Linked DNA regions of Canis lupus familiaris. The protein of the gene in region 1 interacts with the protein of each later gene in a biochemical or structural test. Links are inferred from orthologs where the notes say so. Each region holds a gene or a part of one and is shown on either strand. Other genes may lie near its edges. The genes, in order: MAGEF1 and NSMCE1.

The links.
Region 2: the proteins of MAGEF1 (region 1) and NSMCE1 form a complex in vitro, tested with the Homo sapiens proteins (2 studies listed by BioGRID). The link is inferred for Canis lupus familiaris from reciprocal best matches to the Homo sapiens genes MAGEF1 and NSMCE1.

Annotation. Positions count from the first base shown.
Region 1 is NC_049255.1:17,712,496-17,716,297, reverse strand, and holds MAGEF1 (melanoma-associated antigen F1), read left to right. Parts: upstream 1-1,481; 5' UTR 1,482-1,679; coding exon 1,680-2,654; 3' UTR 2,655-3,179; downstream 3,180-3,802. UniProt on the Homo sapiens protein: Enhances ubiquitin ligase activity of RING-type zinc finger-containing E3 ubiquitin ligases. Proposed to act through recruitment and/or stabilization of the E2 ubiquitin-conjugating enzyme at the E3:substrate complex.
Region 2 is NC_049227.1:19,537,693-19,541,507, forward strand, and holds part of NSMCE1 (non-structural maintenance of chromosomes element 1 homolog), read left to right. Parts: intron 1-287; coding exon 288-434; intron 435-3,815. UniProt on the Homo sapiens protein: RING-type zinc finger-containing E3 ubiquitin ligase that assembles with melanoma antigen protein (MAGE) to catalyze the direct transfer of ubiquitin from E2 ubiquitin-conjugating enzyme to a specific substrate.

The DNA.
Region 1 (3,802 bases):
GAGCCATGTGATGTTGAGGAAGTTACTTAACCTCTTTGTGTGTTACTTCACTTATAAAATGGGGATAATAATACCACTTATCTAGCAGGGCTGTTATGACTTAGATATGTAAATACTTAGCACAGTATCAGCACATTAAAATATGCAATAAATAATAGGTAACATTTATTGAACACTCAATATGTGCTGAGTACTGCATTAAGTACTATATATGCATTACTTCATATAATCTCCATACTGTTGTGACTGCTATTATACCCATCCTATTGATAAGGTAACTGAGGGGCAGGGAGTTTAGGTAACTTGCCCAAGATTACACAGCTGGTAAATAGCAAACACCATGGGAAAGGACAGATCTATAAAATGGGGATGATGTTAACAGTGACTTAATGAGAATTAAACAAACAAATACTTGAAAAGTGGTAAGGACCAGGGCCTAGTACATAAGGTCTGTATAAGAGGATGTTAAATAAATGTAAATTGCTATGTTGATTCAGGGATGGCAGTAAAGAACTTCCATGCATGGAGATTAAGGAAGGCTTTGTGTTTATTATTATTATTATTTTTTTAAAGGAAGGCTTTGGAAAGGTGACATTTAGGCTGAGCCCCAAAATGAAAGAGAGGAAGGAGGCAAGAGGGAGGGAAAGTGAGAAGGTGAAAGAGGCAAGAACTGGGGGTATGCAAAGAAGTCATGGGAGTAGTTTGTGACCCCTTTCCTGCCATCACTATTTCTGCCAGCCCTATCCTCCTCTCACCCCTGTAGAATCTGCGATCCTCACCCCCTCATCAACCATCTTGCAATATTTATGCAATAGTATAGGTGCCAGGCACTGTGCTGGTGCGGGGCTACAGCAGTGACCGAGCCAAGCCAAGTCTCCGTTCCTATTCTGCGCTCTAACACGCCTCCAACCTGGATTCCCAGCACTTGGTCGTCCCTACTTGCAGTCCATCCTCCTCCGCACCGCCACGGCCACGGCCACGGCCACAGCCACGGGGGAGGGAGACTGTAAAGATAGGAGATCTGGTCTGGACACTACTCCCAACTCCCAGTAGTGGTTTCCCAGCGTGTTTGGAGCACATGTCCATCTCCCTGGCATCCTTTCCCGCGCTCTGCACCTGAGCCAGGATTATCACTCAAAATCCTGGGTACACAGACTTAAAGTAAGCACTTGTTGATAAGACGTGCCTAAAAACGCCACGCCTATCGCCTGCCGCCTCGCCCGTGGACACACTCCCACTCTGCAGGCCTCGGAGGAGCAAGCGCTGGTTGGCCTCCTGCAGCCCCGGAGCCCAAGACTCCGCGCAGAGCTCACACCTCCCACCGCCCCTGGAGCGACCCCACAGCCGCAGGGCGCCGGAAGGGGCGGGGCCTCGCGCGGCCCGGGGGCCACCATCTTGGCTGAGCTGGCCGGAAGTGGCCCGGCGGCCCGGCGCGCAGGCGCACACGCAGGCTGCGCCGGGGCCGCGCGCGGGTCGGGGGTGCCGGCGGCGTTGCGGCAGCCGTTGCGAGCCCCGAGCGCGGCGGTGCGGCTCAGCGTCCCGAAAGCACGCCTCTGCCCTCTCGCCCGGTCCTCCTCCCGCTCCCCCAGCCTCTGTCCCGCCCCCCCGCCGGGGCTTTGCGCCGCGGCTCGCACACCCCTCGGCCCGTGCACGCCCTCTGCACCTGCCCGCCCGAAGGCATGTTGCAGAAACCCGAGAGCGGGGCCCTCCCAATCCTCCGGGCCGAGGGGGAGAAGGATGGCGGCCGCGACGGTGAGACCCAGGCCCTGGCCGCCTCTCAGGAGGCCGCGAGCCCCCTCCTGCAGGAGACCCCCGGGGAGCATCTCGGCGCCCGCAGGGAGGAGGGGCCTGCAGAGCCCGCCCTCGCCCCGAGAGGCGCCAGGACCTTGGCAGCCAAAGCTTCGGCCCGGCGCAGGGCCTACCGCCGCCTGGACCGGACGGTGGCCGAGCTGGTGCAGTTCCTGCTGGTGAAGGACAAGAAGAAGAGTCCCATCACTCGCTCCGAGATGGTGAAATACGTAATCGGAGACCAGAAGGATCTGTCGCCTGAGATCATCGCAAGGGCCGCAGAGCACCTGCGCCACGTCTTTGGTTTCGAGCTGAAACAGCTTGGCCGCAAGCAGCACACTTACATCCTGATCAACAAACTAAAACCTCTTGAGGAGGAGGAGGAGGAGGAGGATCTGGGAGGAGGTGGCCCCAGATTGGGTCTCCTAATAATGATCTTGGGCCTTATCTACATGAAAGGTAATAGTGCCAGGGAGACACAGGTCTGGGAGATGCTACGTCGGTTGGGGGTGCGTCCCTCCAAGTACCACTTCCTCTTCGGGTACCCGAAGAGGCTTATTATGGAAGATTTTGTGCAGCAGCGATACCTCAGTTACAGGCAGGTGCCTCACAGCAATCCGCCCGAATGTGAATTCTCTTGGGGTCCCCGGAGCAACTTGGAAATCAGCAAGATGAAGGTCCTGGGGTTCGTGGCCAAACTCCATAAGAAAGAACCCCAGCACTGGCCAGTGCAGTACCGTGAGGCCCTGGCAGACGAGGCCGACAGGGCCAGAGCCAAAGCCAGAGCGGAGGCCAGTATGAGGGCCAGAGCCAGGGCCAGAGCCAGGGCCAGGGCCACTGAGACGGCTGGCATCAGCCCCTGGTGAGGGCTGGTGGCAACGTGGCCACCAGGGTCTTGGTGGTCGCGAAAAAGCTACCGTCATAAGTAGCATCATAAGTAGGTTGTTAATTAGAAGTTGTATCTGTGTAACTAGGATTTAGGTTTTGTATCTTGCTATGTTTTGTTACAGTTTACATACTGTTAACATTGATGTTTATAAATGAGATTGGTCACCTTTTTCCGGTAGGATTTTGTTGTAGGGTTTTGCGGGTTTTGTAAAACGAATCGAAGACTTCACGTTTTATTCTGTGATCTTGAACAAATGACGTGGCGTTGTAATGCTGTACATTAATGAGTCGATGGAACTCAGCAGTATGGATCACCTGGTACCACGAGAAGAATAGCTGATTGGTGTCTAGCTTCCCAGTGCTTTTTGTCTATATTGTATAAAGAGAAAAGACTGACCTGTACCTCTATTTGTAGCTATTATAGTATCTCGAGAAAAATGCAAATGTAGTAACTTAGAACTATACCCTGACACACTCAATAAATTAAACATTTGCTGAGTGTCTTTTTTTATGTGGTGTTTGGGGGCATTTGGGGATAGAATGCTGAACAAGATAAAGGTCCTACATTCTGGAACTGGGGATTAAGAAAATCAGAAATTACAGAGCAGCAAGTTGAAGGCTGCAGAGGGACACCTAACCCATCTGGGCTGGTTGGTGAGGCTTGGCTAAAATTACCTTCAGTCAGACTTCAGGGGAAGTGGGGAAGGATGGGGCACGCAGAGGGGAGGGAAAGGAGAAAAAGAAGTTGAGGGAGGGAAGTGGTATTGAAAATAACTGAAGGGCACAGGTGCTTCTCAATAACAGGGGAAGAAGGCTTGATACATAGCAGAGCTGGAAAACACCCTGTCTTTGCCAGTGGCAACTCATTAGAGCACACAGTGATGGTGGCCGTTAGCATTTTGGGCCCTTCCATCCGCCTTCTCAACCTCTACAAGGTCCCCTCTTCTACCAAAGCTGTCAGAGACCAAATACTCTTAACAGTTCTGGAACACTGTGTCCTGTGGGTGGAGGGTATGTACTGACATTCCCTACTACCAAGAAGTTCCACTTCAAGATTTCTCCCCTGGCACGAGGCAGCCTTGGGCCCTCATCCCTGTTTCTACCGGCTGCTTTCTACCTGCCACCT
Region 2 (3,815 bases), on another chromosome or scaffold:
AGCACAGGGAGGACAGGTTCTCCAATTTTACTCATTTAGATGGTAGGGTAGGCTGGGTCCAGGCGTGCTGGCTGGCTCTGGGACCCACGTTACTCTTTAGTAACTGCTGGTACTAGTTGGCTTGCCCCTGACTGGTGTCCTTTTCATTTTTGGGCTATTCGGCAGGATGCTCTTGAGTCTAAAAACTATAACAAATGGCTAGTTGTGAATGTAAGTTAGTACAAAATATAGAACCTGGCTTTCGGAGCGCTCAGAGGTGAATGGGTTTTGTTTGCTTCTTTTCTTAGCTCCTTCGCACATGCAGGGTGGTACTAGAAGAGCGGGTGTCATGACTGATGTTCACCGGCGATTCCTCCAGTTGCTGATGACTCATGGAGTGCTGGAGGAGTGGGACGTTCGGCGCCTGCAGAAGCACTGCTATCGAGTCCATGACCGTGAGTATCATTTCCCCGTTCCCAGGATGCCCTGGAGCTGTGCGATCAGGGACTAAGACACTGGGATAAAACAACCTGGGTGGTCAGGTCTCTCCCATACTCTCACACCAGCCTGTGCTTCTCATCTCGGCTTTGACTTTACTTTTTATTTATTTACTTTTTTTAGTAAATCTAATAGTTAGCCCAGTGGGTAGGAATTTGGACTTTGAAGCTGTTTAATTGTGGTTCACACCAAGGCTCCAGCATCTTCTCTAGCCTGAACTTCTTCATCTCTCACATGAGGATAATTAATCATCCTTGACACCATAGGTTCAGAGGATTAAGAGACAAGATACATACAAAGTGCCTGACCCTGGGGAAGGTGCTCATTTAGCTGTCAGTGGTTAGAGGGCAGCTTAGCACAGGGGGTCAGAGCGTGGCCTTGGACTCAGCCAAACCCAGAGATAATGCCACCCTGTCCTGGGCCAGCTGGGAATTTGGAGCATCTTCTCAGTGGGTTGCTGAGATGGGATGTAAGATAATACACACAGAGCACTCAGCGACCAGACCTGGCTGAGTTTTCATTAACTGGAAGTCACAGTAGAAACAGTAGGATCATTGCTGGCAGGTCAGTAAAATCAATATTGGTAGCTCAGGTTGAGTGGAGTGTCAGTATGGGTAGATCCTGTTGAATGAAAAAGAAAGTGGATAAATTATACTTATTGTACGATGTCACTGTGTTACGCTTTTTGTAAAACATAACAAATTTTTTAAAGATTTCATTTATTTGAGAGAGAGAAAGAGAGAGTGCGTATGAGCAGGGGCGGGGTAAAGGGAGAGGGAGAAGGAGACTCCCTGCTGAGCAGGGAGCCCAATGCCATGCGGAGCTGGATCCCAGGACCCTGAGATCATGACCCAAGCTGAAGGCAGTAGTTTAACCTACTGAGCCACCCACGTGCCCCAACTTATAAATACTTAACATCTGCATGTAAAAAAAGTAAGAGTGGACCAGAAGGCTATGTAACACACTTGTGAGGTGCTTGCCTTTGGGGAGAAATCAAAGGACACTCATCTTTATTCTATTTTGCTCTTTTATTAAAGAAAAGAAGACTTGAAGTAAACATGACATTCATAGTATAGTCTGATGATCATCACTTCTGATTAATGGGAATACAGGTGGTTATATTCTGTGCTTTTGTCTTTCTGAGTGTATTTTCTGTTTCCAAAACAAGAGTGGAAAGCACAGAGAGGTGAGCCAGCCAGGAGGTGTGAGGAAAGGTGTGCATGGGGCACTGGGTTTAGGGGTGAAGGCCCATGAGAAGAGGGGCCATATATGGAGAAGTGCCGAATGTGGCATGGGGGAGGCAGAAGCCAGATCTGAGAGAGGTGAAGGGTGGATGGGAGCAGGAAGGGCGAGCTGGTGGGTACAGAGACACATATTCTCCCAAGACGTGCAGAAGGAAGATGAGAGCTTACGGGTTAGGGCAGAGGCAGTTTTGGAGAGACTGGCCCCTTGAGGTATGCCACATGAAATTCTGGGAGCTGGCTGGTACACGCTAACAAATGAAATGCCTGCAGGGATCCGACAGTAAGGAAACCTGTTGAACTCCATTTAATCCCATTTATCTAAACCTCGTTGACCTCCACTTGACATACTTTGGGAAACCCCAGATAGGAACATATGATGTGTGGGAACAGATGCGTCTTTGTGGTATGTGAGTCTATAAATCAGGAAGAACCCATAGTATGTGCACCAGAGTAATGGGGTTTCTTATGTACTTAATTCTGAGTACAGTGTGGACGTCTGAAAGGACTTGAGACGGGAAAGGGACATAATTAGTGTTGTGCTGGAAAACTATTTTTCTGGTAAAAACATGTCTGTCCTACTTGCCTGTGTTGGGGTGGATAGAGGTCTTTGGTGAGGGCCTCTATTAGGGGAAGGGAATGTTACACCTGCCAAGCCAGCCTCTCTCACTCCTTAAAAAAGCACAACAGGATTTCCACCCTCCCCCTCAGAATGCTCTGGTGAAGGGCATAAGAATGTTTTTCTTAGTCTTTTATCCCTTCCTCCTCCCCTTCAGTTTCTCTTGTAAGTCCTAAATGTGGGCTTTAATGCTAATGGGGAAGTTTCATAGCTCACTGCAGGGAGCCACATGGTGCCTTAGTACTAAGAATGAAAGTGTTTTTGCCTCTGTTTGACCTTTAAAGTTGTTATGACCTAATTTAGGAAAGTCCTGTAGAATATATCTAGGAATTAATTTATTATTCACACTTTATGTGCCGTATCTGTGCATAAAGAAAGATATCAAGATATGCTTATGGCTGGGCTAAATGGGATAGAGCTGTAGTTTGCTTTTCCCTACACCCTTCATTTAAAAAAAAAAAAGCTTTCTCTCAAGCATTAATGTTATTTCAGAGATTTTAAAATGAGAGATGATGGAAAGAAATGATCTCAAATTAAATAAATATAAACATCATTAATCTGTCTTTTGAAAAGATGCCCTGGAAAGTCCCCTTTTACCAGCTGGAAAAATATTCAGCTTCTAAGATAATTATGAAACAGGAGTAATTGAATCTGTGAGTTATTCTGATTGTAGTTTCCCATGGTCTTTTGTCCAACTTATCAAACATGCTTCCTATTCTGGGCTCTGGTTCCAGGTCTTACCATCATTAAACTAGAAGCAAATTCCCCAGTTATCTGGGTTAGGGAGAGTTTATATTTTGTTGTGATGGGCTGGTGTAAAGCCTTGGGTCTGGGCTTTCTAAGTGGCATGGAGGGCCTATGTGCCCTCTGAGGGCACCTGGGGTTGTGAGCTGGATCTTGTGTACATGTGTGTGATCATCTAGCACCTCTTGCTGTGGCATCATGGAGGCCAGGTCCCTGTGCTAGGGACTGGTGACACAGAGACAAAGCTCTTGCTTCACCTTGGGTTTCATGAATCATGCAGATGCAGAATCATATGATTCTAGTATAAGCCTCCTTTAATGGAACTAGGCACAGGAAGCCTAGGGAGTGGTGGTTAAGAAGACCTGTGTTTGAGGATTTCTACTTTTGACCAAGGTAGAGCAACAGGGAGCAGTTTACCTTCCTGTATGAAACAATTAAAAATAAATGAAACAAAGGACATTAGTCAGTGAAGGACAGTGAATCCTTGAGAGATAGGGAGTGAAAGTTTTTTTTTCCTTTCCTGACACCAAATATGTGTTGTCTTTTCCAGTACTTCCTCCCCAGTTCTCTGGATGTTCACTGGATGTCCAGTGGTTCAGCTCAGTTCTGACACTGTTTACCTGGAGTGAGGGTCAGATCTCATGGTTAAAGGGGTTCAGCCCTACCAGGCTGCCCCACTTCAGATGCCAGTCTCAAGTCCAGGCCTCAGTACTTCTGACCAACCAGCTATAAGG